4 linked regions of the Elephas maximus indicus genome follow. The protein of the gene in region 3 interacts with the protein of the main gene of each other region in a biochemical or structural test. Links are inferred from orthologs where the notes say so. Each region holds a gene or a part of one and is shown on either strand. Other genes may lie near its edges. The genes, in order: GSTP1, ITCH, MAPK8 and JUN.

Region 1 (7,477 bases), on a different chromosome or scaffold from region 3:
CAACAGGTTGTAGTCAGCAAAGGATATCTGCGGGCAGAGGGGTGAGGGGGCTTCAGCGGGCGGGGCAGACCGCCTGGCTGGCATCCACCTCGGGTGGCTCACAGGGCCTCCGCATCTGTTTTCCCCTCTAAAGGTGCTGTGGCGGGGCAGACCGCCTGGTCGGCCTCCACCTCGGGTGGCTCGCAGGGCCTCCGCATCTGTTTTCCCCTCTAAAGGTGCTGTGGCGGGGCAGACTGCCTGGTCGGCCTCCACCTCGGGTGGCTCACAGGGCCTCCGCATCTGTTTTCCCCTCTAAAGGGTGCTGTGGAAGGGGCAGACCGCCTGGCCGGCCTCCACCTTGGGTGGCTCACAGGGCCTCCGCATCTGTTTTCCCCTCTAAAGGGTGCTGTGGAAGGGGCGGGGCAAGGCCACCACTCACCTGGTCTCCCACGATGAAGGCTTGGCCCCCATTGTTCTGGGACAGCAGAGTCTCAAAGGGCTTCAGGTGCCCGGGCAGGGCCTTCACATAGTCATCCTTGCCTGCCTCCTGCTCAGAAGATGCCGCCGTGTACCATCCTCCAGCTCATGCGGCCGCCCACCCCAGCCCTCAGACACCCCCTTCTGTCCGTCTCCCCTCAGTGATGGCACCCCCCAGGCTGGGGACTGGAGGCCCAGTGCTCTCTGCTCAACCCACGCCCAGGCCATCACCTAACCCTGCCTGTGCCGGCAGCTAACTCATCTCTACCCCGTTCCCACCTTCCCAGGTTACTGCAACACTCAGAGCTGGCTCCTACCAGGGTCCTTCTAGGCCTCACATACTCCTCCATGGCTCCCCACTGCCCAGAAGGTCCAGCACGCTGGTTCAGGCCTTTCGGAGCTAGCAGTTCCGCAGCTCAGCTTCTGATACTCAACCCTCTCTCTCTCTCTCACACACACACGCTCAAGTACATAGGCACACACGTTGCTAGAACATATTGATCACATACCTGCACACACTCAACCACACATGCATATACACTCAAATACATGCACACTCAGACGTGCACACATATGCTTGTACATGCACACACGCACACATGTGCACATGTACACACACAAGCTCACATACTCATGAACACATGCACACACGTTCACCTATGCTGGAACACATGCTCACCCTGGTGCACACTCTTGAACACTTGTGCACACACTCACATATACACGCACACATGCTCATGCCCACGTGTGCACACATGCACACACACACACACACACATACATGCTCTGCCTCTGCTAAACTGGTCCCAGATCCCCAAATGCATCTGAAAGTGCCAGCCCCTCCTTCCAGAAGTTGGCTATAGATCCTCGACCTCCTCCTCTAGGAAGCCCTCCTGGCCTCTCCACTGAGGCCGATGTCTCCCGTCCTTGTACTGTTCTGCCATTGCCTGTGGCTTGTCCATAGTCCACCCCCAGGCAGTGAGGGCAACGACTGTCTTGTCCATATGGTCTCGATCTAGCACAGAGCCTGACCCAGCCCAGATGCCCTGCCTGAGGGGCTCCAGCAAGTCCCTGTCTTGGTTTGCCTGCAGTGGCCAGCCAAGGCCAGCACTCACGTAGTTGGTATAGATGAGGGTGACGTATTTACAGCGCAGGTCCTCCACGCCGTCGTTCGCCACGTCCACCAGGGCTGCCTCCTTTGGGTTTTTCCCATAGAGTCCTGGGGGATGGGAGAGGGGCAGCATGACTGGGCACCTGACCAACACACAACGCTTGGCTGACCCACTGACAGGCATGTGGCTGACTTGGGCCTCGGTGGGAGGAGGGGAGAGGATGTGGATACACGATGGGAGAAAGGAACAAAGGAACAGATAAGCTGGACACACTGTAGGTGCCCAGGCTCAGTAGGGGCAGCCTGGAAAACTTCAAACAGGGCTGGACTTGACCTTAGGCTAGTTACACAATCTCAGTGGGCCTCGTTTCCTCAACTGCAGAATGGGGTGCTCTCCAGTCCACAGGGTTGCTGGGCAGCTTGACTTAAATGGACAAGGCTCAGGTGGCTGGCAATGAGAGGGGCTCAGGAACGCTGGCTGCCGTGCCATACCCCTGCCCCGGGCTGGGCCCCCACAGCTCCAAGACTCACCCAGGGAGCGGCCCAGGTGCCGCAGGATGGCATTGGACTGGTACAGGATGAGGTCTCCGTCCAGGAACTTGGGGAGCTGCCCGTACAGCTGGGGGAGGGAATACGGTGCAGTGAGGGGTCCTGAGCTCAGCTGCCCCCTCCCAGTCTCCCCCTAGGCCCAGCCCTGTTCGGCCCAGGTTGCGCACTCACACAGGAGGCCTTAAGCGGGCCCTGCAGCCAGTTCTCCATGGTTACCACCTCCTCCTTCCAGCTCTGGCCCTGGTCACTCAGCAGCATGCGCATGGCCTGGCAGCGCCCTGGGGAAAAACAGGGGTGTGGGGACAGGGCTCTCATCCCACAGCACACTGGGAGGGGGCAGGTCTGGGGAAGGGGTGAACACTTCTGCCTTTGGGAGCCTCTGGGAAGGGACGGGGGAAGGAGACTCAGGCCCAGAGCCACATGAGGGAGGGATAAGGGGACCTGGAATCTCCCCAAGGTGGGTGAGGGGTCCCTAGGCTGCAGCGCCTGCCACGCATGCCCCCAGACATAGGCCCCTACCTCGAACCGGGAAGTAGACAATGGTGTAGGGTGGCACTAGGAAGACAAAGAGACATTTATCAGAGCCTGGGAGAAGGGTGCACCACCTGCCCTCCCTAGGGCCCCATCCCCAGCTCAGAGCGCTCAGGACCCCTAGGAGCCGGTCTCTGCACTGGGGGCTCCAAGGGGCCCGGGGAACCCCCATCCCACAATGGATGCGTCCTAGGCCCCTGGGATCCCCTTCCCGGCACTGGGGGAGCCCCGACTCGACGCTGGGAGGGCCGGCCCCTTGGGAGCCCTGGTCCGTGCTGGGAGCTCTTCGGACCCCTGGGATCCCGGTCCCCACGTCGGATACGCGCCGGCCCCTGGGGCCCAGGCCCCGCGCAGACTTACTGGTCGCAGTCGCAGGCGGGAATGCAGACAGGGATCCACCCTCAGGCTTTGCGGCCTCTGAGCTTTATAAGGCTCAGCCCTACCCCGGCCCGCCCCGGCCCACCCCTGCCGCCCCGGCTGGCCCAATTGCCGAGTCACGGTGCTGGGCGGGCCCCGAGCTGCAGCATCCGGTAGGGTTCCAGGGGACAGCGCAGCCTCGTCAGCACCCAGCCTCGCAGGGGGCGCCCTAGCCCGCCGCCCACTGAGCCCGTATTCGGCGCCAAGCACCCATCCTGCTGCGCTTGGCTGGTCATGGAACTGTGGGTGGTTGGAACCCACCAGATGCTCTGCGGGAGAAAGCCGTGGCAGTGTGCTTCCATAAATATTTGCAGCCTTGGAAATCCTGTGAGGCAGTTCCACTCTGCCCTACAGGGTCGCTATAAGTCAGAAACAGACTCCACATCAATGCGTAATACTGTTTAAAATCCTTCAAAAATAAAACTTATATGTAAATCTAACAAGATATTTGCGTGTTGTTCCTTTTTTTTTCCTGCTAAGAATAAAGCAAAAAAAAAAAAAGAGCTCAGATTTTGAAAATGTACTAGGTGGGTTACCATTACCCAGCTTGGTTACCGTTAACCCAGCCAAACCCACTGCCATAGAGTCGACTCGGACTCAAAGCCACCCCATAGGGTTTCCAAGGCCATAAATGTCTACGGGAGCAGACTGCCCCATCTTTCTTCCGGAGCTGCTGGTGCTTTCAAACTGCCGACTTTTAGGTAGCAGTTGATCACTTTAACCGCTGCGTCACCAACATGCATACGAGGCAAATGGAAACTCTTAAAAAGAACCCAAAATCTTTCTCCTTCCAAAAAAGTGGGTCATCTAAAGTCAAACCTCAAATTAGAGTAACTTGAGTTCTCTCATTCTGAACGCTGCCCCCTAGCCCAGTGTTTGATCATTTCAATGTTGTAAACACTTCCCCTTAAGGAGACCGCTTTAGATCCTGACATCTGGCTGTGGACTATTTGAGCTCTCCCCTTGTGAGTTTTCTTATCTTCATTTGCTTTCTCAAGTCTAACACGCTCAATAGAAAGCTGGCAAAAGTCCCTTTCATTCTTTAACTCCTTCAAATTTATGTCTTTTCATATTTGTCAAAATTTGAATTTTTGTCCTAAAATTATGCATATGCATTTATTCGTTCTATTTATAAGATATATGCATTTCTAGTTCCACAGGTAGTAGCACATGCAAGGAACATATGACACGCTTATAAGAACGGTTTAATAAATCATTGTGTATGCCTGTACAAACATACGTACACTTACTGATAAAGGTTAAAGACTACAGCCTTCAATATGGATTATGTCTAAACGTGAAGAAGGTGAAAATTCTCACAACTGGATAGATAAACATCATGATGAATGGAGAAGAAATTGATGTCGTCATTGATCTTATTTTACTCGGATCAGTAATCAATGTCCGTGGAAATAGCAGTCAAGAAATCAAACAATGTGTTACATTGGGCAAATCTGCTGCAAAAGACCTCTTTAAAGTTTTAAAAAGAAAGATGTCACTTCGAGGACTAAGGCAAGCCTGACCCAAGCCGTGGTATTTTCAATGCTCTCAGATGTGTGCAAAAGCTAGACAATGAATAAGGAAGACCAAAGAAGAATTGATGCAAATCATGGTATTGGCAAATTATATTGAAGACACTGCAGACTGCCACATGAACAAACAAATCAGTCTTAGAATAAATTCAACGAGAGTGCTCCTAAGAAACGAGGATAGTGAGATTTCCAGTTTTTTACTTTGGACATGACATCAGGAAAGACCAGTAAGTACAAAAGGACATCATGCTGGTAAAGTAGAAGGACAATGAAAAAGAGAAACCTCAAAGAGATGGGTTGACCCAATAGTCACAACCATGGACTCAAGCGTACCAACGATCATAAAGACAGTGCGGGGCCCGGCAACAGTTCATTCTGTTGTACATAAGGTCGCCATGAATCAGACTCAACTTGACAGCAACGAACAATAACAATAACCACAATCCTAAAAGGAACTCTAGACAGTCATTCAAAACAGTGATTTAAAACTGAGGTCTTTGAACTGTAACCTACTGGCCAAATTTGACCTGCTCCCTATTTTTGTAAATAAAGTTACATTAGAACACAGCTGTGTCCATTTGCTTACGCACTAAGGGTGCTTTTGCGCTATACTGGCAGAGTTTGGTAGTTGCAACGGATACCATCTGGCCTTTACGGAAAAAAAAAGTTTGCCAACTTACTGCTTTAAAGAATCTTTAACGCCATTTGCTTCACAAATATTTCATTCACATAGAATAGATATAATAGCAAAATGTCTAAGACATAATGTTAAAGTAAAAGTGTAAGTTACAAAATGATCTGAATTAAAAAAAAAAAATGCAATATATACAACAGAGCCCCAGTGGCGCAGTGGTTAACAGCTACGGCTGCTAATCAAAAGGTTGGCGGTTCAAATCCACTAGCCACTCCTTGGTAACCCTATGGGGCATTTCTACTCCATCCCATAGGGTTGCTATGAGTTGGAATTGACTCAATGGCAACAGGTTTGGTTTTTATTGGTTTTTTTTTTTGTTATGGATTGAATTATGTCCCCTCAAAATGTGTGTCAACTTGGCTAGGCCATGATTGCCAGTATTGTATGATTGTCCACCATTTTGTTATCTGATGTGATTTTCCAGTGCGTCGTAAATCCTGCCTCTGTGATGTTAATCCCCAGTGTGACTGTCAGTTTGTTGTACTGTGGGGCTTGCGTGTTGTTCTGATGTTGGAAGCCACGTCATTGGTATACCAGTAGGGTCACCCATGGAGGACAGGTTTCAGCGGAGCTTCCAGACTAAGACAGACTAGGAAGAAGGACCCAGCGGTCTACTTCTGAAAAGGATTAGCTGGTGAAAACCTCATGAATAGCCGCAGAACTTTGACAGATATAGTGCTGGAAGATGAGACCCTCAGGTTGGACTGCCCGAAGAACGAACAAGCCTGTCTTGCAAGAAGTACAACCAGAATGCTCCTTAGAAGATGCTGAGACTACTTCTTACATACTTTGGACATATTATCAGGAGGCATCAGTCCCTGGAGAAGGACATCATGCTTGGTAAAGAAGAACGTAAGCAAAAAAGAGGAAGACCCTCTCTAAGATGGATTGACACAGTGGCTGCGACTATGAGGATGGGGTAGGACCGGACAGTGTTTTGTCCTGTTGTACAGAGGGTTGCTTTGGATCGGAACCAACTCCACAGCACCATACAACAACAACAGCATGATGTTAATAAGGCAAGATTAGAGGCAGTTACGCTAATGAGGCAGAACTCAATCTACAAGATGAGGTTGCATCTTAAGCCGATCTCTTTTGAGATACAAAAGACAGAAGTGAGCAGAGAGACATGGGGACCTCACACTACCAAGAAAATAGTGCCAGGAGAAGAGCTTGTCCTTTGGACCTGGGGTTCCTGCACTGAGAAGCTCCTCGTCTAGGGAAAGACTGATGATAAGGCCCTTCCTCCAGAGCCAACAGAGAGAGAAAGCCTTCCCTGGAGCTGATGCCCTGAACTGGGACTTCCAGCCTACTAGACTGTGAGAGAATAAAGTTCTGTTTGTTAAAGGCATCCACTTGTGGTGTTTCTGTTACAGCAGCACTAGGTGACTGAGACACCACCCACTGTGGTATTTCTGTTACAGCAGCACTAGGTGACTGAGACACCATCCACTGTGGTATTTCTGTTATAGCAGCACTAGGTGACTGAGACACCATCCACTGTGGTATTTCTGTTATAGCAGCACTAGGTGACTGAGACACCATCCAGTGTGGTATTTCTGTTACAGCAGCACTAGGTGACTGAGACACCATCCACTTGTGGTACTTCTGTTACAGCAGCACTAGGTGACTGAGACACCATCCACTGTGGTATTTCTGTTACAGCAGCACTAGGTGACTGAGACACCATCCACTGTGGTATTTCTGTTATAGCAGCACTAGGTGACTGAGACACCATCCACTGTGGTATTTCTGTTACAGCAGCACTAGGTGACTGAGACACCATCCACTGTGGTATTTCTGTTACAGCAGCACTAGGTGACTGAGACACCATCCACTGTGGTATTTCTGTTACAGCAGCACTAGGTGACTGAGACACCATCCACTTGTGGTACTTCTGTTACAGCAGCACTAGGTGACTGAGACACCATCCACTGTGGTATTTCTGTTACAGCAGCACTAGGTGACTGAGACACCATCCATTTGTGGTATTTCTGTTACAGCAGCACTAGGTGACTGAGACACCATCCACTTGTGGTGTTTCTGTTACAGCAGCACTAGGTGACTGAGACACCATCCACTGTGGTATTTCTGTTATAGCAGCACTAGGTAACTGAGACACCGTCCACTTGTGGTATTTCTGTTATAGCAGCACTAGGTGACTGAGACACCGTCCACTTGTGGTGT
Region 2 (8,203 bases), on a different chromosome or scaffold from region 3:
CTTGAATGAATACAACAACCCACTTCTAAGCCAAAGTTCCTTGTTAAACTCTTGTCTAAGCAGTGAAGAAACACATTCTAGAAAAAAAAAAGTTTATATATACACACACATACGTATATACCTTAGTACACCGGAAGAATAACAGACTGGGAGTTAGAAAACCTGGGTTAAAGTTCTAGCTCTGACTCTTAACTAGTTTTAGGTTAATTATTTAACCTCTTTAGTTCTCTTTTTGCTAAGAAGTTGGACTAGCCCAAGGATAGCATATACCCAGCATTCGTATCACCCATAGATAACTGAATCCACAGGACGCATCACTAATCAATCCCCAGAGAACCGACAAGATTAGAATTCTCAACACAGTGCTTCTGGCAGCTATTTCCAATCAGAGTTGGCCTATAAGCCAAAATATATTTGTCACTGTGAACTAGATGATCTCTAAAATTTCTTCCAACTCTAAAATTCAAATACTAAGTTTCTGTAGAGTGGGAAAACATCTCTTTCAACAAGCTTAGATCAATATTGTTGACGGTCATAAATATAAGTCTAAAATTCCAAGTCCTCCTCCAAATTGCACCTGACCTGGTTCTTTCTAATTTCACAAAGACACTAACGAACAATTCAGTCTAATACTATTAACGTATGTAACCTGACAATATTATTCAGACTTATTAATAAGTTCTTTTGACAGAAAACGTGTCCTTTCTCCAGACCTAGAAAAGCCTCATCTAAAAATACAGCAACAATATTGCACTAGTAAAGTGTTAAATTCAATCCTTTGATTATCCCCACAACCTCTCTCCAAAGTTAGTCCTTGTTATCTTTCATTTACTAGCAGAAAAGTTGGTGGTTCGAATCTACTCAGAAGCACCTCAGGCATCTGCTCCTGAAAGGTCACAGCCTTGAAAACCCTGTGGAGCAGTTCTACTCTGCATACACACATGGGGTCACCATGAGTCAAAACAGACTAGATGACAGCTACTAACAAGAGTCTGCAACAGCCACTCTCCCATCTTTTCACTCTTTTATCTCCAGGGCAATCTTTCTAAATCACACATGCATTTACACCCTTCCCTGTTTACAAATCTGTACCTATTACTATCAACATAAAATTCATATTTTTTAGCATTATACTTAGAACTTTTCACATAGGTGACTCATTTTACCTTTCTGGCCACATGTCCCACAACCTTCTCCTTTTCTACCTTTTTTCTTCCACAACTCTCTGCACTTAGATAGAGCATTAAAGCAGTTCTTCTGCCTGCCCTGTCCTTCCTTTTCCCCACCTCTGTGATACTCCTCATCATCAAAGACCCAACTTCAGGTCCAGGGGAAGATCCTGCCTACTTCTCTGGCCAATGCCCAGGTAAAAGTGGTCACTTCTTCCTCTCTTGTCTCAAGGTTTTTTGAGCTATCCTCTGTATATCCACAGTATTGCTTACATCAATAGTTCCCAAGACCATCAGAATTACCTGAGGCATGTTTTAAAAATCAATTCTTAGAGGCCAACCCAGACCTACTAAATCAATGAGGAAGTGAGATCCTGGAATTTCTACTTTTAATAACCTCTCTAATTATTCTAATAGTCAAACTTGAAAACCACTAGCTTCTCTGTCTCTCCCAATAGGTGTAATAACGTGTTTCTTAAACGAATGTAGAAATGGTTTAAACCAGAATACGCTGAAGAAGTATTCTGCACTGGTTTTTTAATTCATACCATATCATAGTTGACTTGATTTGTATGCTGAAGATGGAGAATTCTTTTTGGATTCACATCCCAAAAAACTTACACTCACTGTTTAAAAAAGTTGTTGAATTTCCACCTTCATTTCTAGATCTCAAAACCAAAGTAACCCTACCTTGAGTAAACCTGTGAATACACAGTGCAGGTTCTCACCAGATGTGCTGGGAGAACTTTATTTCAGCTGAGAAGTCCTTAGCAGATTTTGAGGGTGGAAATACACTGTCTTTACATACTTAAATGAGCCTGGTGGTACAGTGGTTAAAGCGCTCTGCTGCCAACCAAAAAAGGTCGCGGTTCCAACCCATCAGCCACTCCGTGGAGGTGGGGGGGGGATGGAAACCCCAGGTCAGCTCTACTCTGTCCTATAGGGTCGCTAGGAGTCCAAATCGACTAGATGGCAGTGGGTTTGGTTTAGGATTTACATACTTAAAATCAAATTATATTATGAATAGATACAAAAGGAACTGATTTAAGTGCAAAGATAAGTGAGTAGCTGACTGACTCAGGGCTCATTTAATTTCCAAAGAAAAATCCCACTCTTCCGTGCCCATCCCGCACCCCCCCAAAAAACTATATAGCAGCTGTGAAATAATAACAGATAATGTAACAAGAGTAAGATGCGGATACAACCAAGAAAACGAGCTGTCATTGAGAATCGTGAATTTCGGTAGTTTGCAAGTTCACCTGGTTGCAGAGGTGGCTAACTTGAGGCCCAGCGTCTGTCTTCGGAAGCACAGACCCTGTGTTTACCTCTCTCTAAGTCGCGGCCCGGAACTAAGTGTGAAAACTTGAGTTCCCCGCTTGGATTCATGTCCTCATCACGTTTCGACCCCTAGGATACGTCCACGGCTACTTTTGTCTTTACTACAGAAAAGCGCATTCTCAGGAGGGAGGACGGTGACAGCTCCACGTCTGCAAACTCGGCGAGAGGCGCCAGTGGGGCCGCGACGGTGGCGGGCACCGGGAGGGGCGTCCGGACCGGGACCACCATGCGGGGGGACAATGGAGGGAGGAGGAGAGGAGGCAGCCGCTGTGCTGGGTCCCCCTCGCGACCGGGGGCTCCGAAAAGTCTTCGGGAAGGCCAGACCGGCAGCAGGTGGCCTGGCCGCCGCCCCTCACAGGGGCCACGTCGCCCGCGCCGACCGCAACCACTCTGCCCCGCGTAGGCCGGGCCGCGAACCAGTAGCTCCCTGGCGGGGCGGAGGGGCGCCGGCCGGACCCTGGCCGCGCCTGCCAGGGCCCAGCCCTCTCACAACTTGGCGCCCGCGAAACTACCGGCTGCGAGAGCCTCGGCCCGGCACTGGCCGCTCGGACGTCTGTCCGACCCACCCCCCGCCCGGCCTTGGCCGCCGGCCCGAGCTCCCCGCGCCCCGTACGGGCACCAGCTGAGGGAAGGAGCTGCCGAGGATCTGGGATCCCGCCTTGCGCACCGCACTGCTCCACTCCTCCTTCTCCCGAGATACTCTTACCAGCTTTATCCCCTCTCCCTAGAACCACCCCCAGTCCGCCCGCGGGTGTTTACCGGGACTCGGGGCGGCGGCGACTCCTCAGTTCCTCGACTAAGATGGCAGCCGGTCCCGAGCCCCGACTACAGCGACCAGAGCAAGTTGGCGGCCAACGCGCAGGCGCCTCCGCTAGGGAGCGGCCTGGACTACAAGCCCCAGCAGGCCTTGCGCGCGGCCGGCTGCCGGTCCAGTAGAGCTGGCAGAGGCTGGTCAGCGCAGCTAAAGCGAAGCTTCCACGCCCCCAGGTGTGAGGAACTCTCGGATTGGCTTTTTTTTTTTTTTTTTAACCACCCTCCCCAGACCTGGTGGTGCAGTGGTTAAGAGCTCAACTGCTAACCAAAAAGGTCAGCAATTCAAATCCGCCAACCGCCCCTTGGAAACCCTGCGGGGGCAGTTCTACTCTGTCACTACGAGAAGGCAGAACCTCTAAAGATTACAGCCGTGGTTCCTAAACTCTGTTGTTGTTGTTTGTTGGGTGCCAACTCTAAACTCTAGCGTGCATCAAAAAGACTTGTTAAAACATGGAGTGCTGGGCCCCAACCCCAGAGTTTCTGATTCAATCAATAGGTGTAGGATGGGATCTGATCGTTTGCCTTTCTAACGAGTTCTCTGGTGATACTACGTACGTAAGAATCACTGAACTATACCAAAACCAAAAACGGGTTGTTGCCTTCAAGTCGATTCCGACTGATAGTGACCCTAGAATGCACACTCTGGAGTTACACTGATTAGGTTCAAATCCCCCCTTCTCAACCTCTTAACAGGGTACTCTTAGGGATGACGATAATAGCTTATACTTAAATAGTGCCAACGTGCCAGGTGTTCTACGAGCCGATTTACACACCAATTTTTTTCTGCTCCTCCCAACCACTCCCCCAACTAATTTTTGCCAATTGCCATCAAGTCCACTCTGACTCAAATGGTCCTACAGGACAGAGTAGAACTGCCCCACAGGGTTTCCAAAAAGCAGCTAGTGGATTCAAACAGAGCTCTTAACCACTGTGCCAACAGGGTTCCTAAGAATGTATGCGCTAGGGTAATCAGGGGTTTTCTAATTAGTGCCCCAGGTGATTTTTGTCACCAGGTACTTTTGGGAAACTTAGTGATCCTTTAAGGTACCAGGTATTTTTATGACCATTCAACAGAGAAGGAAACCAAGTCTCAAATAAATTAAATGACTGTCCCAAGATCACTCAGCCAGGGGCCAATGATCCAACCCAAGTCCTCAGGCTCCAGATTCTGCGTTTCTCTATATACATATATATATTTTTTTACTTTTACAGCAAAATCTGCTCCCCTTCAACAGTTTCTAGACGTAATGATCAGTGACATTGGTTACATTCTTCACATTGTGTCAACATTTTCCTTATTCCTGTTCTAGTTGTTTCACTTCCATTGACTTAAACTCCCAGTCCCCAACCTTCCCATCTATGTTTTAAAATAGCTGTTGTCCATTTGGTCTTATACAGGTCATTTTTTAAAAAGAACGTAATACTCAAGGATGACAATCTTTACTTTTTAAGCTAAATTGTTACTTAGTTTAAAGGTGACTTCAGGAGGTAGTTTTGATTCAAAATTTGAAGAGTAACTCAAGGCAGTAGTCTTGGGGACTCCTCTAGCCTAATAGACCCAGTAAGTTTGGATTCTTAGAGAATCTGAAGTTCTGGTCTACATTTTTCTCCCTTTTTATCAGGATCCATCTATTGTGTCACTGATCAGAACACTAGGTACTAGGTACAATCTAGTTCTTCTGGCCTCAAGGTGGAGGAGGCAACGGTTCATATTAGTCCTGTAATTCAGTTCCTTCTCTGATTCTTGGGTTTCCTTCTTTCTCTTTTGTTCCAGGTGAATAGAAACCAATAGTTGTATCTTACATGGCTGTTCATAAGCTTTTGAGACCCAAGACACTACTAACCGTACTGGGAGATAAAACATAAACTTTAAGAACTATGTTATGCCATTATGCTAAGTGAAATTAGTCAGTACCAAAAGGACAAATATTGTATAAGACCACTATACTTAAGAAATAGTTTAAACTGAGAAGAAAATATGCTTTTGTGGTTATGAGAGTGGGGAGGAAGGGAGGGTGGGAGAGGGGCATTCACTAATTAGTTAGTAGATAGGAACTACTTTAGGTGAAGGGAAAGATAGCACATAATACAGGGGAGGTCAGCACAACTGGACTAAACCAAAAGCAAAGAAGTTTCCTGAATAAACGGAATGCTTCAAAGGCCAGCGTAGCAGGGGCAGGGGTCTGGGAACCATGGTTTCAGGGGACATCTTAGTCAATTGGCATAATAAAATCTATTAAGAAAACATTGTGCATCCCACTTTGAAGAGTGGTGTCTGGGGTCTTAAACGCTAGCAAGCAGCCATCTAAGGTGCATCAATTAATCTCAACCCACCTGGATCAAATGAGAATGAAGAACACCAAGGACACAAGGCGATTACGAGCCCAAGAGACAGAAAGGGCCACATGAACCAGAGACTACATCATTCTGAAACCAGAAGAACTAGATGGTGCCCAGCTACAACCGATGACTGCCCTGACAGGGACCACAATAGAGAACCCCGAGGGAGCAGGAGAGCAGTGAGATGCAGACCCCAAATTCTTGTAAGACCGGACTTAATGGTCTGACTGAGACTAGAAGGACCCCGGTGGTGGTCATGGCCCCTAGACCTTCTGTTGGCCCCAGACAGGAACCATTCCCAAAGCCAACTCTTCAGACATGGATTGGACTGGACAATGGGTTGGAGAGGGATGCTGGTGAGGAGTGAGCTTCTTGAATCAGGTGGACACTTGAGCCTATGTTGGCATCTCCTGTCTGGAGGGGAGATGAGAGGGTGGAGGGGGTTAGAAACTGGCGAAATGAACACGAAAAGAGAGAGTGGAGGGAGAGAGCAGATTGTCTCATTAAAAAAAAAAAAAAAAAATTTTTTTTTTTTTTAGGGGAAGAGTAACTGGGAGTGTGTAGCAAAGTGTATATGGGTTTTTGTGTGAGAGACTGACTTGATTTGTAAACTTTCACTTAAAGCACAATAAAAATTAAAAAAAAAAAAAAAGAACTATGTTATGCCAGTTGTCTTGATTGTCCCACAAGACCATGACCCTAAGCCTTCAAACCAAGAGAGAGCTAATCTCATGAGGTGATTGGTTATATCTAATTAGTATCAGCATCTGTAGCCTGTAGCCCCCCATTTTCGTTTTTTTGATTGTTGTTATTGTTGCAAAGTTATATATAACAGCATTTGCCATTTTACTCTTTTTTCTTATGCACAGTTTATCGATTATCAATGACATTAGTCAAGCTGTGCAAACTCTACCCCCACTTGGAGCCACCTTTCCAATCACCATAGACACAAAGTAACTCCTACCTAGAGAATGCTTCACCATCTTCTCCTTTCTCCACCCCTGGTAACCACCAATGAACATTGGTCTCTATTGTCATTTCTTAAAAGTGAGAATATACAATATTTGTCTTTTTGTGATTGATTTATCTTACTCAACCTAATGTCCTCCAGGTTCATCCACGTTGTAAGATGTTTCGGGAATTCCTTTTTCTTTATGGCTGAGTAGTATTCTATTGAATGGATATACCACACTTTGCTTATCTATTCATCTGTTGATGGGCACTGTCCACAATTTTTAAAACTAGATAAATATTACCCAAAACTAATCTATGGTATTAGAAATCAGGATAGTGGTTACCCGTTGAGGGGAGGTGGTACCTGGAATGCAGCACAAAAGGGGCTTCTCAGTGCTGGTTATAATATTCTGTAACTTGATCTGGGTACTGGTACCTGGGTGTGTTCACTTTGTGAAAATTCGTTGAGCCACGTACTTAGGATTTGTGTATTTCCTCTATTCATATTATATTTCAATCAAAATTTACTTTAAAAAATGTTTTAAATACATACTTGCTTTGTTACAAAAATGCATCTTTTTCTACTATGTGCCAAAGGTTCTCAACCTTTACAGTGCATCAGAATTATGTGAAGGGCCGGTTAAAACAGATTGCTGGGTGTCACCCCAAAATTTCTGAATCAGAAAGTCTACGGTAAGGCCCAAGAATTTGCAGTTCTAACAAGTTCCCAGCTGATGCTGATGCCCAGGGATCACACTTTGAGAACCACTGGATGACACTATCCTAACCCTGCTAGCACCAACAGGGTAGATTAGTTCTGACAAGGAAGGCATTGTCTAGCAGGAGTTAAAAATCTGAGCTTTGGACAAGACAGGAACCACTCCCAAAGTCAACTCTTCAGACAGGGATTGGACTGGACTATAAGACAGAAAATGATACTGGTGAGGACTGAGCTTCTTGGATCAAGTAGACACATGAGACTATGTGGGTAGCTCCTGTCTGGTAGGGAGATGAGAAGGCAGAGGGGGACAGAAGCTGGCTGAATGGACAGGGAAATACACGGTGGAGACAAGGAGTGTGCTGTCTCATTAGGGGCATAGCAACTAGAAGTATATACCCAACCCACTGCCGCCAAGTCGATTCCGACTCATAGTGACCCTAAAAGTATATAGCAAGGTGTATATAAATTTTTGTATGAGAGACTGATTTGATATATAAACTTTCACTTAAACCACAATTTAAAAAAAAAAAATTGGGGCTTTGGAGACACACAGATCAAGCATCTAGTCCTGATTCTGTGAACAACTGGCTTAGGGGTCTTAGACAAGTCACCTGAACCTCAGTGACTAAATCTCTAAACGGGAATAAAACAGCCTACCTCTTAGGATGTTGTGAAAATTCTAGGAGATCAAGGGTAGGTAGTGATGCTTCTCCAAGGAGAAGCTGAGTTGGTGAGTGCAGGGATTCCAGCTTGGCTGTCTCCTCATCTTCTATGCAGTGTGAATGGATCCAGAGCTCAGGCCAATCTTGGCCTGGCCAGCATGCAGGGCCAGGGGCTGATAAAGCCTCAAGCCACCTTCATCCTCCTG
Region 3 (8,082 bases):
ACTCCTCGGCTATTCTAGCTCCATCTACTACCCTGACTGATAGGACGACTCTTCTTTCACTACTCCTGGACCCAGCCAGAGGCTCCACAGAAAGAGGGCCTGGCGAACTGCTTCCATTAAGATCACAGCCAAGAAAACCCTATGGAGCAGCTCCACTCTGTGATACAGTGCACGGGGCTCCGTGAGTCAGAGTCAACTCCACAGCAACAGGTTTGGGTTTGGCGGGTCACCTTTTAAGTCATAAATTCTGTTGAATCAGAACTCATCTGTGAAATCAAACTTCAAGGTAACCTGCGTTCAAGCAAAAACACAAAGCTTCTAAACGTTCAGGTAAGGAGCTCATGACTAAGACAATAAGCATCACAGCTTACTGAAACAGGCCAACGATTCATATCTAAAGCTGTGTGGTCATAGACTTCCTTGCACTATATGAGTCAGAAAGGGCACTACCCATACCACTCCTGACCAGAGGTCCCTAGAGAGCTGGCCTCTCAATGGTCAGCATGCTTTTATACTTCTACATGTGCAACAAAGCACCTCAACCATCCAGATGACTCAAGTATGTCAAAACTCAACTCGCCGGCAAAGCAGACTAACAAGCATCAGGCTTGGATTCACTCTTAATTACCACCACAATACTATGTGACTAGTCATTTAACAACAAATTACTTCAAGTTGTTTCACTGTGCACTGGGTATCCCCACGAGGTCATTTCCATAATATTAAGTATAAAGCAAATACTTAAGATTCTAACCTCTTCAATTTTGGTATAATTTATTCTTACCCCAATTTTCTTTCCAAGTGGCATTTCCCCCAGGATGTAAAGGAATAGAAAGAATATAGCTTCCTAATCTACCAGGACACGTAGAGGGCGTCCTTTTCAAACCCATCAATGGAATACACCTACTAACAGAGTCAGTGCTATCTCTTCCTTTAAGACAGCGTTTAGCCGGCAGTGGACACTGACTGCCAATGGGTATGGGGTCACTTCTTAGGGTGATAAAAACGCTCTGGAATTAAACCATGGTGATCAATACTCAACTTTGTAAATATACTAAAAAACCACTAAATTGTACACTCTAAAAGGGTCAATTCTACGGTATGGGTGAATTATATCTCAAAAAAGCTACCATTAAAAAAACAGAATTTAGAAAAACAAAACAAAAAACTTTCATTCTAAATGTAGCCTGACTGTGAGCTGCTGCCAAAGGATTTTTATCAGTAACCCTTACTGGAATCTGACAAATCTCAACTAGGTAAAGCAGTAAACGTTTGTATCTCAAAGTTTTCATTCCTCATCTTAATAAAGTATCATTTTCTAATTTTATCATTTCTACCCTACATTGGATAACAGAAGTTCGCCTCAAATCCTTTCATATCCAAAACTATGCTAGAATGTATTTAGTTAGTTGGAGAGAGACTGGGAGCCAAATGTTCTGTCAAAAGTGTAAGGACAAGGAATTTAAACATTTCTAATAAACATTTACAAAAATTTATTAGAAATAAATTAGGCACTCCTAATAAAACATTTGTGCAGCTTGTTTCTTCTGTCCTAGCTTTTCCACTTAGAGTCACCGAAAATCTTTCAAATAATATTCACAAAAGGATGTGCTGCACATACACATATACACACAAAACACAATCTACCTTACTTGATCAATCACACTAAAAAACCATACTTTAGACAAGGTTTATTTTAGGATATGGCCTAGAAGTGACAGGAAAAAATTGATGCTGGAGTGATTCAAAAGCCTCTATTGCCATGACAGATAATACGAATGAACCGATCAATTAGATATCTGGAAGTGACAGTTTGCATGAAGCCTCTGGAACTTTATGGAGAACATTAGAAGTTTTTTGGGTTTTTTTCAAAGACTTAATTTTAAATACTACCAATTATAAAGAGCGTTTCATCTGTCTGACTATTCGGCACTTGCTATATTGCAGACTAGGCTCTGAAGACACGGATGTAAGACGTTCCTGGCTTGGGGACAACACTAAGCAGGTTCACTTCCGAAATCTGACCTCCTAGGCTTGAAGGTAACAGGGGAATCTGAGGTAACCATTACAAAGTGCCCTAGGAGATAAAACCTGAAATAAATAAAATCTGTTGTAGACTTACAGCAAATCTGACTCCAGTTCCTAATACCTATTGACATTAGAAGTTCCAGCCGTACTACAAAAACAAAAATGTGTAAAAACGCCCAGAGCACGACTCTCTCTTCTTTAACACGCACCACTCACGGGCCTCCCCTAACCTTCAAACAGATCTGCGTACAGCTCACGGGAGGAGCTGAGTGAATGAATGAACGACAGACAGACGGACGCTGGGACCGCCAAGGAGGCGCCTCCGGGACGCTCGTGTGGAGACAACGCGCTGGCCGTCCAGTCTCCCCGGAGCCCCGGCGCGGCGCCCAGAGGCGGACACGGAGCGACCCCGGGCACCGTCGGAGCGCGCGGGCGACGCGGCAGGGACCCGCGGGGCAGGTCTGACCGGGAGTTTTTCGCGACTCAGACGAAAGGCGCCCGTCAGATACGTTCAGACGGACTCGGCCCTGCCCCCACGGGTCGGGGACACAGCCGCAGACAAAGGGACGAGGGTGGGGAGAAAAGCCCGGGGCCCCCACGGGGCGCCCCTCCGGGGAGACGCGCCGACCGCGGACCGCAAGCCCACCTCGGGAGACCACCGCCCTCCGCCGGGCGCCCAGAGCTGGAGGCCCTTCCCGCGCGGCCGCCCGCGCCCGCCCAGAGCGTCCGCACAAAGAGCGCCGCGCGCCCCCGCAGGCCCCGTGGGGAGGCAGCCGGGGCCGCTCGGGGTCAGGCGGGGCGCCGCTCGGGGCGCCGCTCGGGGTCCGTCAGGGCCGCTCGGGGCGCCGCTCGGGCCCGCCTGCACCCCGCCCCGGCCCGGCCGCCGCCTCCCGACCGCTATTGTTCCCGCGCCGCCCGCCGCCCGCCGCGCCCCCGCCCCCACTGCCGGGAGGGGGTCGGGCTGAGGAGAAGGCGGCGCGGCAGCCGCACAATAACAAACACCGAGGGCCGTCCGCCCGGCCGCCCGCTCGCCCCGGCCCCGAGGCGCCCGCCGCACTCACCCGGCAGAGGCGCGGACGAGGACAACGGAGCCGCCGGCGGGGACAGGCGCCGTCCCGCAGCGGCCGCGGCCGTTCCCCAGCGAAGCTCGCGGCTCCGCCACCGGGCCGCGTAGTCCGGCCGCCACCGCTCCGCTGAGTAACAGGGACGCGAGCCTCCACCGCGCAGGCCCGCGCACGTCATCGCGTAGGGCCCGCCCCCGCGCCTCCCGAGCGGCCCGCGGGGCCGGAGCGGCCCGGGGCCCGGATTCTGGGGGTGGAGCCCGCGGCCCGGGGGCGGGGCTACTCCGGGGAGGGCGCGCTCGCGGCGGCCGCCTGGAAATGGAGCTGCGGGAGAGAACGGCCGGGGGACTGAGGGGCGTGGCTGCGGCCCGGGGGCGGGGCTACTCCGGGGAGGGCGCGCTCGCGGCGGCCGCCTGGAAATGGAGCTGCGGGAGAGAACGGCCGGGGGACTGAGGGGCGTGGCTGCGGCCCGGGGGCGGGGCTACTCCGGGGAGGGCGCACTCGCGGAGACCGCCTGGAAATGGAGCTGCGGGAGAGGACGGCCTGGGGACTGAGGGGCGTGGCTGCGGCCCGGGGGCGGGGCTACTCCGGGGAGGGCGCGCTCGCGGAGACCGCCTGGAAATGGAGCTGCGGGAGAGGACGGCCTGGGGACTGAGGGGCGTGGCTGCGGCCCGGGGGCGGGGCTACTCCCGGGGAAGGCGTGGAGCTGAGGGAGAGGATGGCCTAGGGACTGAGGGGCGTGGCTGCGGCCCGGGGGCGGGGCTATTCCGGGGAAGGCGCGCTCGCGGAGGCCGCCTGGAAATGGAGCTGCGGGAGAGGACGGCCGGGGGACCGAGGGGCGTGGCGGCGGCCGGAGGGGCGGGACCCTGCGCGGGGCACGTGGAGGCGTCGGTTCCCAGCGCTCGGCATCTGCCTGGGGCTGTCAGCTAGTCTGAGAAAAAGCTTCCGGCCGGGCTTGAAGGTCAGGCGCGCTCAGACCAAACCCGCACCTCAAGCAGGCACCCCCACCCAGGCACGGACAATACGTACCATTCTGAGGCACCTACCCGGGTCTAGCAAGTCATATTACCCGATTTGGGGCCCCACAAAGCGTGACACGAAATTAGGCAGCAAACGGTAGTGTTAAATTGGCAAGCCCTTAAATATCCAAAAATTGGTAGAAAGATATTTAAATTACCAGAGTTCCCAGGGAGCGGCTGGTGGATTCGAACTGCCGACCTCTTGGTCAGCAGCTTTAGTTCGCCATAGCTGTTAACCACCGGCCCCCAGAGCGCCACATCCATGTAGCGGAAGGCATTTTAGCAACCTGAAAGCCACGTGTTCAAGGAATTCTTAATGACATGGGGAATGTTCATAATCTGTCCTTAAGAGAAAGAAGCAAGATACAAGTCCACACCATATAACCCTTACCCTCGAGTCGATTCTGACTCATTGCGACCCTATACGACAGAGTGGAACTGATTTATAGGGAGGGTTTCTAAGGAGCTACTGGTGAATTCGAGCTGCCAACTTTTATATTTACCAGCCAAATCCTTACCCACTGCACCACCAGGGCCCCAAGTCTGTATGTCTATATATATGTACAGAATGGTCCCACTTATGTACTACACATACATAGAAACAAACCTGGAAAGAAATATGCCAAATTATTTTAGCAGACTAACCACTGGATTTGGAATGAAAGATGATTTGTTTCTCTTCTATACTTTAGGTATTTTCCATGATTTCGAAGAAGAGCAGTTATGTTCATGTTGTTGTTAGGTGCCGAGTTGGTTCTGACTCAGAACGACCCTGTGTACAACAGAAAGAAACACTGCCTGGTCCTGCGCCATTTTCACAATCGTTGTTATGTTCGAGCCATCTTTGCAGCTACTGTCTCAGTCCATCTCATTGAGGATCTTGATGCCCTTCTCCAGGGACTGATCCCTCCTGATAACACATCCTAAGTACAAGTCTTGCCGTCCTTGCTTCTAAGAAGCATTTTGGCTGTACTTCTTCCAGGACAGGTTTGTTTGTCCTTCTGGTAGTCCATGGTATGTATATTCAATATTTTCACCAACGCCATAATTCAAAGGCATCAATTTTTCTTCAGTCTTCCTTATTCATTGTCCAGCTTTCAAATGCGTATGAGCTGATCAAAAATATCATGGTTTGGATCAGATGTACCTAAGTTCTCAAATGTTCATAATTAGAAGTAAATGAGTTACTTGAATATTGAACGCATAAATATTCATCGAAGAGTATGAGTGACTGCTGATAGTCTATCTTCTCATTACATGTTGGGTTGACCTATTTCAAGTGATTCTGAAATGGTACATAAATGTGAACATTCATTCCTTCATTCATTGTTTCTTCATTTTCTTCCTCCCTCAACAGTTGCCCTCGAGTTGATTCTGACACATTCCAACCCCATGTGTGTCAGAGTAGAACTGTGCTGCATAAGGTTGTTCTGTTTTAATAATATTGTTTTTGGTGAAAGTTTACACAGTAAATTAGGTACCCACTTGACAATTTCTATTCAGTTTGTTCAGAGACATTGGTTACGTTTTTCACAAGGAGTCAACATTCTCTTTCACTGCGCTGTTTGTTCCATTTCTGGTACTCTATTTTCCCAGCCCCCTTGTCCTCTCATCTTTGCTTTAGAGTAATTGTTGACCTTTAGATTTTTTTTTTTAAGAGGACTGTACTCATGGCTTGTTGTTGTTGCTGTTAGGTGCCACCGATTTGGTTCTGACTCATAGCGACCCTATGTACAAAATACGAACCGCTGCCTGGTCCTGCACCATCCTCCCCGATCACTGCTATGTTTAAGCCCATTGTTGCAGCCAGTGTGTCCGCTGCTGCTTCTTATTTTGAGTAGTGCCACGTCAGCGAAAGCTTGACTCCATCCACATCGTTAAGGTTAACTCTACTTTGAGGAGACAGTTCTTCCCCAGTTGTCTTTCGGGTGCCTTCCAACCTGAGTGGCTCATCTTCTGGCACTATATCAGACAATGTTCTGCTGCTATTCATAAGGTTTCCACTGGCCAGTTTTTTCAGAAGTAGGCTGCCAGGTCCTTCCTTCTAGTCTGTCTTAGTCTGGAAGCTCCGCTGAAGCCTGTCCACCATGGGTGACCCTGCTGGTATTTGAAATACTGGTGGCACAGCTTCTAGCATCACAGCAACACGCAAGCCACCACAGCACAACAATCTGACAGCTGAGTGGCTGATATCCTTTATTTTGCGTGCTGCTCTGTTATTTAGCTAAAAGGCGGCCTCGGGATCATTTCAATTCAAGATTTGAAAAGTGTCTCAGGGCAATAGTCTCAGGGATTTCTCTGGTCTCAATTAGTCCAACAGGTATGGACTTCTTAAGAATTAGAGTTCTGTTTCGTGTTTTTCTCCTTATCTATCAGGGTTCATCTATTGTGGCCCATATCAGAATGGTCAGCAGCAGTAGCTGAACACCATCTGGTTCTTGTTTCAGGGTAAAGGAGGCCGTGGGTAGTGAAAACTATTAGCCCTATAGACTAGTTTCTTCTCTGAGACTTTGGTTTCTTTCTTTCTCTTTGTTCGTGATGAGTAGAGACCAATAACTGTGTCTTAGATAGCTTTTTGCAAGCTTTTAAGATGCTACTCACCTCACTAGGATGCTGAACATGAACTTTGTGAACTATGTTATGCCAATTGACTGAGTTGTCCTGTCACACTAAGGTCCTAAGCCTTCAAACCAAGAAAACCAATCTCTTTAAGGTGTTTGTCTATGTCTGAAAGGTGTCTGTAATTGAGTCCTATATGAATATATATGCCTGCACATATATACCTTTACTTTTTTTTATATAGCTACTACTATCTGTACACATATATGTATACACCTGTACCTACTAATACACCTGTATGCCTACACACATACATATGTGACCATACACTCATTTTTTGGTCATTGTTGGTGTTGCCAAATTATATATGTCAATTTTTTTAGTACAAACATCCTTCTCTCCTGAGCACTTCTTAGTGATACCATTTATTTTGATTGCTCCATAGGGTTTTCAGTGGCAGACTTTTCAGAAGTAGATTGCTAGACCTGTCTTCCAAGGAGCCGATAGGTGGACTTGAACCGCCAACCTTTCAATTAGCAGCTGAGCACATTAACTGTTAATACTACCCAGGGAGTCCCTCCCTCACAGCCTTCTTTATCTCCTTCCTTCATTTTTCTCATAAATATTTAGTGCATGCCCACTGCAAAATTGATGTGCAAGTGGCATCTGACCTCCTCTAACTTCACAAGAGGGAAGGAGAATCAAGATCAACAGCCCAAGGCTGATTCCTATGAGATGGAGATCAGACATGGCTCCTGTATCCACTATCCTTACCAATTCTAACACCAACTGTCCCTCCCACGGCACTCTCTACTTCTCTGCTGAGCTTGGTAACTCACTGCAATGGCGACACTGAACTCATGGACGGTACTCATGATTATGGGGTTTATTAGGTAAGTAATAGGTTACAACTCAGGTTCAGGAACAATCAGGATACAGCTCTTCCATCAAGACAGCCTCTTCCCATCTATGCTCACAGGCAGGTCTCTCTCTCACCCTCGGCCTCTACCCTGCTGGGGCAAGTGTTACAAAGTTCTTTTAGCTCTGCCAATAAGTGCCCAGAGGCTCCCTACTCTGCCAGCAAGCCTCCTGCCCAAAGGCACTCAGCTTTCTTGCTCTGTGGGCTAGGGAGCCCACTGTGCCCTCTCCTGCTGGTCTCTCCTGCCACACCGTTTCTTTGCCACTGCATCTCGCCATCTTCAGTTTTACATCTCTCTCTGTCTCTCTCTTAGTCTCCTGGTTCCAGGAGCTTCTCAGAGCAGAGATCCCAGGTCAAAAGGATGAGCTCCGCTCTTGGCTGTTTTTCTTTCTTTCGTAAGGGGATCTTCTCCTTCCCACCCCTGAGATGGCTCATTTCAGGCCCGCTGGGATGACATAACTGACTAATCCCCTTGGAGGGCCACAATTACCCTACT
Region 4 (6,498 bases), on a different chromosome or scaffold from region 3:
AGACCCACATAGGACAAGTAGCATGAGCAAAAAATAAACTTTGACTGTAACCCAATGAAAGCCGCTGAGATGTTAGGGCTTGTTACGGCAGCATAAAGCCAGCCTTTCCTGGCTGATACTGGGAGTGAGAGGAGAGATTGGGGAAAGCAGGAGCTAAAATGTAAAGCTCCCCTTCTCCTAGGCAAAGGAGTCTGAACTCTCTTCTGTAGTAAAACCAAAAAAACCAAACCCACTGCCATCAAGTCGATTCCAACTCACAGTGACCCTGTAGGACAGAGTAGAACCGTCCTATAGGATTTCCAGGGCTGTAAACCCTGGTGGCGTAGCGGTTAAGTGCTACAGTTGCTAACCAAGAGGTCGGCAGTTCAAATCCACCAGGTGCTCCTTGGAAACTCTATGGGGCAGTTCTACTCTATCCTATAGGGTCGCTATGAGTCGGAATCGACTCTACTGCAGTGGGTTTGGTTTTGGTTTAAATCTTTACAGAAGCAGATTGCCACATCTTTCTCCCTCAGAGCAGCCAGTGGGTTCGAACCGGCAACCTTTCAGTTAGCAGATAAGAGCTTAATAACTATGCCACCAGGTCTCCTTCTTCTGTAGTAAGGGGGAAGCCAATGAAGGCTTCTAAGCAGGGGCGTTATCATGAACAGATTTGTTATTTCGGGGGGATGAAATATGCCATTTCTCAGCATAAGGAGAAAATCAGCCTACTAAATCACATAAGGCAGAGAGAACACACAGAACCCTTAGGCAAAGGATATATATTTATCCACACTCCTAAGTCTAAATACGGGAGCTTTGAAAGGAGTTACCGTCAGAGATCAGGCAAGATGACTTCCCCTCTCCCACAAGCTCCATTTCTTCTGCAGGCAACTAATACTTCACAAGAAAGTTTATCAGAGCCAAGAAGATACAATAAGGAAATTAATACAAATCCGAGGTCAATTTTCAACTGCCTGTGTGTCCTGAACAAGATACTTGAAATCTCTGGGCCTATTTCCTCACATGTTAAACACAAATGATAATAATATATGCTTATCAAGATGGCTGTGGGGAGAAAACAGCATATTTAAATTGCTTAGGAGAATGTCTGGAAAATACTCATTCAATACATGAAAATCATTTTTATTACGGTGATATTAAAAATTAAGAATACCAGCTCTCTGGTTATAAAATGTAACAGAAAATAATTCATGGCAACAGTATAGAGGACAGTGTTTCCTCCTTAAGGGAAGGAACTGGATTTTGCCATCGTTGCATCCCTACCCCTCCCGCCTCCTCACATTTTGTCCCAGCTCAGTGCTTGGCTCACAGTAGCTACTTAGGTATCCTCTCCCACACGAATGAATGAAGAGTTGAGTGCCTCAAGTGAAAAAAAATCGGCGGATTCTCCACCAACACCAGCTGCTGTTGATTCTGAACTTTCAAAGCCACAAATACCTTAAGGCTGGGGGCTATGAACTCAAGACTGAATTCCCCCGAGTTCAGAGGCAGAAAAGTCAGAATAAGTACCTAGGAACTTCAACTACTACAGATCCAACTTCAAACCCTAGACCTAGAGAGGCGGCCTGGGAAAGAGTTGCCTTCTAACCGGATCCACCCTCACTCACCTCCTCCCCTCAGTGTTCCTCACTGGAAAGCAGACCTTGTCCTGCCAAATTACACTCTTATGTCCTGGCATTCCATCCTCCTACAATGCTTTGGGAAACTTGGAGGAAGGTCAAGGAATGGGTGTTTGGCGACCACCTCCTTAGCCACGGAGGCAAGATGATACACTAACGCCTGCAGCCCAGGGAAGCAGATCTAACCAGCTAACTTGCAGATGAGGGAAGTGAAGCACAGAGAAGTTCAGTGATCGCTCACTTACACTGTGGCAGCACGGGGCAGACAGAACGCAGGATTCCCGACTTCGGTATTCCTTCCACCATACATTTTGTCACTGAAGTGGGGAGGAGTGAGGGGGCGGGGCAGATAAATAACCACCACAGAAAGCAACCACTTATATGTGTCTAGCGCTTCCTAGAGGCTGCACAAGGTATCAGCTCACCACCCAGCAGGGAGTCGAGAGATTTTTAAGCTCCTGAGTCGCTGCGTGACTTTTGGCGAGTCTCTGCCGCTTTCGACACTTGTTTTCCCCGAAGCAAATCAGGGCGGGTGTGTGTGTGTGTGTGTGTGGTGTGTGTGCAGGGTGGGGTGTGTGGTAGAAGATCACCGGGGTTCCCAGAATTTCGGAATCCCTAAACGCTTGTTCCGAAATGGACGCTGAGTTGCCCCCTGATTCTTCCCCCTGTAAAAACCTCACCTCCAAGGCAAAGCTGTAAACTCCTGCAACCCTCTTCCCCCCAGGGTCCCCGAAGGGTGACGTGAGGTGCAGCGGGACTTAGCGGAGCGCCCAGTTTCAAGCAATGCAAACCACTCGGCTCTGGGCACTGCCAGAGAGCGGAGAGGACGGTCGCTCGTGAACTTGAACGAGAGACAAACTTCAGAGCGTCCTCAACGTGGGGGGTCAACCCCCGTGCGACCAGCCCTAAACTTGGGCCCACTTAAGCTCACCCCCACGGGGGACTAAACAGAGCCACCTTAAGGGCGGCGCTCCCGCCCCCGGAAGTGCGGGGGGGTCACCGACGCGGGCTCCCAGCCTCCCAACCCCGCGCGGCGAAATGCCTCGGCCAACTTCGCGCCTCCCAAGTGGCGAAAAACCACACATCACCCCACACCCTCGGCCCCAGACAACTACCCCGGTCCCCCAGCCTTCCGGGGCCCCGCATCCCCTGCATCTCGGTCCCGAGCTTGAGCCCGCCTGGGTCAGAGGCTGGGAGAGTCCTCCCGCTCGCGGCAGCCACCGTCACCAGACAGTCAAACCCCAAGACGTCAGCCCACAATGCACCGGGCGGGCCGGGAAGGACTGGCCTGGGAGGAGAAGGGGGAGAGAAGGGCCAGAGTCGCGCGGGAGGGGGGGGGGGAGGGGGGAGAGGACGAGAAAGAAGGGCCCAACTGTAGGAGGGCAGCGGAGCATTACCTCATCCCGTGAGCCTCCGCGGGTCCGGAGAAGAATCTTCTAGGGTGGGGTCTCCATGGTGACGGGCGGGCCCGCCCCCTTGAGAGCGACACGAGCCAATGGGAAGGCCTCCGGGTGACATCATGGGCTATTTTTAGGGGTTGACTGGTAGCAGATAAGTGTTGAGCTCCGGGCTGGATAAGGGCTCAGAGTTGCACTGAGTGTGGCTGAAGCAGCGAGGCGGGAGTGGAGGCGCGCGGACTGAGACAGACAGACAGAGACAGTCAGTCAGGAAGGCAGCAGAGTCTGAACTGCAAATCTTCTTTTCTTTTCCATTTTCTCGCTAACCGCCCAGAGCTAGCGCCTGTGGCTTCCGGGCTGGTGTTTTGGGGAGCGCCCGGAGAGCCCCTTCTCCAGTAGCCCCGGGAAGAGAGCACCGCTGCCCGGGCGTTGACAGCCGCGGAGAGCTGTGACTGCCCGCCAGCCGGGGGAAGTCCAGCGAGCGGCTGCAGCGGCAAAGAACTTTCCCAGCCGAGAGGAGAGGGGACAAGTGGTACCCGGGTCCCGAAGCGAACGTTTGCAAACCTTTCCTCTTAAGCTGCCGCAGCGGCGATAAAGAAGAAGGCGGCAGGAGAGGAAAGAGAGGAGGGACGCGCGTCCAGCTTCGCTCACACCGGTTGCTGAACTTGGGCGAGCGAGAGCTGCTGGTGCCAGGAGCCCCCTCCCCTCGCAGCGGAGGAGGGGAGAGTCGTCGGAGTCGGGGCGGCTGCGACCCGCCGCCGGCTCGCCACTGCCGGATCTGCACTAAGCGGCACCGCTTCGAGACCGCTGTCCCCGGGAAGCGAGTTCGTCCGAGCAACCACTGCGCCCGCTGAGCGCTCAGTGAGTGACCGCGACTTTTCAAAGAGAGGCAGCGCGCGAGAGCGGAGAAGGAAGGGTGCAGGCGGCATCTTAAGCCTGCGTTCTCTGGAGCGAGCTGGTGAGGAGGGCGCTGGGGGGAGGACAGCCAGCGTGTGCGCGCGCTCTTAGAGAAACTTTCCTTGCCAAAGGCCGCGGGAGGCGCGGGTACCCCTCGCTTGCCAACGCGCTGTTGCGGCCCCGAAACTTCTGCGCGCAGCCCAAACTAACCCCACGTGAAGTGACGGACTCTTCTATGACTGCAAAGATGGAAACGACCTTCTATGACGATGCCCTCAACGTCTCCTTCCTCCAGTCCGAGAGCGGCGCCTACGGCTACAGTAACCCCAAGATCCTGAAACAGAGCATGACCCTGAACCTGGCTGACCCGGTGGGCAGCCTGAAGCCGCACCTCCGCGCCAAGAACTCGGACCTCCTCACCTCGCCCGACGTCGGGCTGCTCAAGTTGGCGTCGCCCGAGCTGGAGCGCCTGATTATCCAGTCCAGCAACGGGCACATCACCACCACGCCGACCCCTACCCAGTTCCTGTGCCCCAAGAACGTGACGGACGAGCAGGAGGGCTTCGCCGAGGGCTTCGTGCGCGCCCTGGCCGAACTGCACAGCCAGAACACTTTGCCAAGCGTCACGTCCGCGGCGCAGCCGGTCAGCGGGGCGGGCATGGTGGCCCCGGCGGTGGCTTCCGTGGCGGGCGGCAGCGGCGGTTTCAGCGCCAGCCTGCACAGCGAGCCGCCAGTCTACGCCAACCTTAGCAACTTCAACCCGGGCGCGTTGAGCAGCGGCGGCGGGGCGCCCTCCTATGGCGCCGGCGGCCTGGCCTTTCCCGCGCAGCCCCAACAGCAGCCGCAGCCGCCACATCACCTGCCCCAGCAGATCCCCGTGCAGCACCCTCGACTCCAGGCCCTAAAGGAGGAGCCGCAGACGGTCCCCGAGATGCCCGGGGAGACGCCGCCCCTGTCCCCCATCGACATGGAGTCACAGGAGCGGATCAAGGCGGAAAGGAAGCGCATGAGGAACCGCATCGCTGCCTCCAAGTGCCGGAAAAGAAAGCTGGAGAGGATCGCCCGGCTGGAGGAAAAAGTGAAAACTTTGAAAGCGCAGAACTCGGAGCTGGCGTCCACGGCCAATATGCTCAGGGAACAGGTGGCACAGCTTAAACAGAAAGTCATGAACCACGTTAATAGTGGGTGCCAACTCATGCTAACGCAGCAGTTGCAAACGTTTTGAAGAGAGACTGTCGGGGGTTGAGGGGAAACGGAGACAAACAAATAACAGAGACAGACTTGAGAACTTGACAAGTTGCGAGAGAGAGAAAAAAGAAGTGTCCGAGGACTAAAGCCAAGGGTATCCAAGTTGGACTGGGTTGCGTCCTGACGGCGCCCCCAGTGTGCACGAGTGGGAAGGACTTGGCGCGCCCTCCCTTGGCGTGGAGCCAGGGAGCAGCAGCCTGCGGGCTGCCCCGCTTTGCGGACGGGCAGTCCCCGCGCGAACGGAACGTTAGACTTTTCTTTAACATTGACCAAGAACTGCATGGACCTAACATTCGATCTCATTCAGTATTAAAAGGGGGGTGGGGGAGGGGTTACAAACTGCAATAGAGACTGTAGATTGCTTCTGTAGTACTCCTTAAGAACACAAAGGGAGGTGGGTGGGGAGGGGAGGCGGGAGGGAGGTGTGTGAGAGGGAAGCTGAGCCTACAGATGAACTCTTTCTGGCCTGCCTTCGTTAACTGTGTATGTACATATATTTTTTTTTAATTTGATGAAAGCTGATTACTGTCAATAAACAGCTTCATGACTTTGTAAGTTATTTCATGTTTGTTTGTTTGTTTGGGTGTCCTGCCCAGTGTTGTTTGTAAATAAGAGATTTGGAGCACTCTCTGAGTTTACCATTTGTAATTTGTAATAAAGTATATAATTTTTTTTATGTTTTGTTTCTGAAAATTCCAGAAAGGATATTTAAGAAAATACAATAAAATATTGAAAAAATACTCCCCACCAACCTCTTTTCTGCATTATCTATAGATTAACCATCTAAGCGGAGTTGAAAGAGTTAGGAGTGTCAATTAAAATCATTCTCAATGCTTACTATCAAGCAATAAAACCTATTCTATATTGGACTTCAGAAACTGATATAGCTGAGGCTATGGTCAAGTTATACTCTTTCCTCCCCCAACTGTCTACATAGAATTGCTTACCAAAGGGCAATGTGTATCAAGGGGCTGGGGAGATGGGGTTAAGGTGGAGTGGGACAGCCCACTGGGAAGTCAAATAATACTTTAAAGTTTGGGATTGTGTCAAGTGGCATGTGCTGTGACCGTTTATAATGTTAGTGGAAACTTAACAATAGATGCTTATTCTCAAAGCAGAAACTGGCAGCAGATTTTACAAAAGTTGTATCCTTCCAATTTGGAATCTTTGACAATTCCTAGATTAAAAAAAAAAAAATCTCTGCTTATGAATATTTATAACAGCATCTTGTCACAATAAATATATTCAAATACCAATAACAGATCTTGATTTCCTTTCACTTTACTACTGTTTTCTTCCCAAGCTATATACTGAAGCATTTCAGTTGCTGGGGT

What was found.
Region 1: the proteins of MAPK8 (region 3) and GSTP1 form a complex in vitro, tested with the Homo sapiens proteins (2 studies listed by BioGRID). The link is inferred for Elephas maximus indicus from reciprocal best matches to the Homo sapiens genes MAPK8 and GSTP1.
Region 2: of the proteins of MAPK8 (region 3) and ITCH, one has a biochemical effect on the other in vitro, tested with the Homo sapiens proteins (2 studies listed by BioGRID). The link is inferred for Elephas maximus indicus from reciprocal best matches to the Homo sapiens genes MAPK8 and ITCH.
Region 4: of the proteins of MAPK8 (region 3) and JUN, one has a biochemical effect on the other in vitro, tested with the Homo sapiens proteins (76 studies listed by BioGRID and IntAct, with this or other methods). The link is inferred for Elephas maximus indicus from reciprocal best matches to the Homo sapiens genes MAPK8 and JUN.

Annotation. Positions count from the first base shown.
Region 1 is NC_064825.1:130,624,764-130,632,240, reverse strand, and holds the start of GSTP1 (glutathione S-transferase P), read right to left. Parts: upstream 3,080-7,477; 5' UTR 3,009-3,079; coding exon 3,008-3,008; intron 2,672-3,007; coding exon 2,636-2,671; intron 2,395-2,635; coding exon 2,288-2,394; intron 2,187-2,287; coding exon 2,099-2,186; intron 1,676-2,098; coding exon 1,572-1,675; intron 527-1,571; coding exon 419-526; intron 28-418; coding exon 1-27. UniProt on the Homo sapiens protein: Conjugation of reduced glutathione to a wide number of exogenous and endogenous hydrophobic electrophiles. Involved in the formation of glutathione conjugates of both prostaglandin A2 (PGA2) and prostaglandin J2 (PGJ2).
Region 2 is NC_064843.1:35,061,827-35,070,029, forward strand, and holds the start of ITCH (E3 ubiquitin-protein ligase Itchy homolog), read right to left. Parts: upstream 3,374-8,203; 5' UTR 3,267-3,373; intron 1-3,266. UniProt on the Homo sapiens protein: Acts as an Acts as an E3 ubiquitin-protein ligase which accepts ubiquitin from an E2 ubiquitin-conjugating enzyme in the form of a thioester and then directly transfers the ubiquitin to targeted substrates.
Region 3 is NC_064834.1:1,515,118-1,523,199, reverse strand, and holds the start of MAPK8 (mitogen-activated protein kinase 8), read right to left. Parts: upstream 3,278-8,082; 5' UTR 3,090-3,277; intron 1-3,089. UniProt on the Homo sapiens protein: Serine/threonine-protein kinase involved in various processes such as cell proliferation, differentiation, migration, transformation and programmed cell death.
Region 4 is NC_064821.1:103,111,312-103,117,809, reverse strand, and holds JUN (transcription factor Jun), read left to right. Parts: upstream 1-4,119; 5' UTR 4,120-4,151; coding exon 4,152-5,141; 3' UTR 5,142-5,496; downstream 5,497-6,498. UniProt on the Homo sapiens protein: Transcription factor that recognizes and binds to the AP-1 consensus motif 5'-TGA[GC]TCA-3'.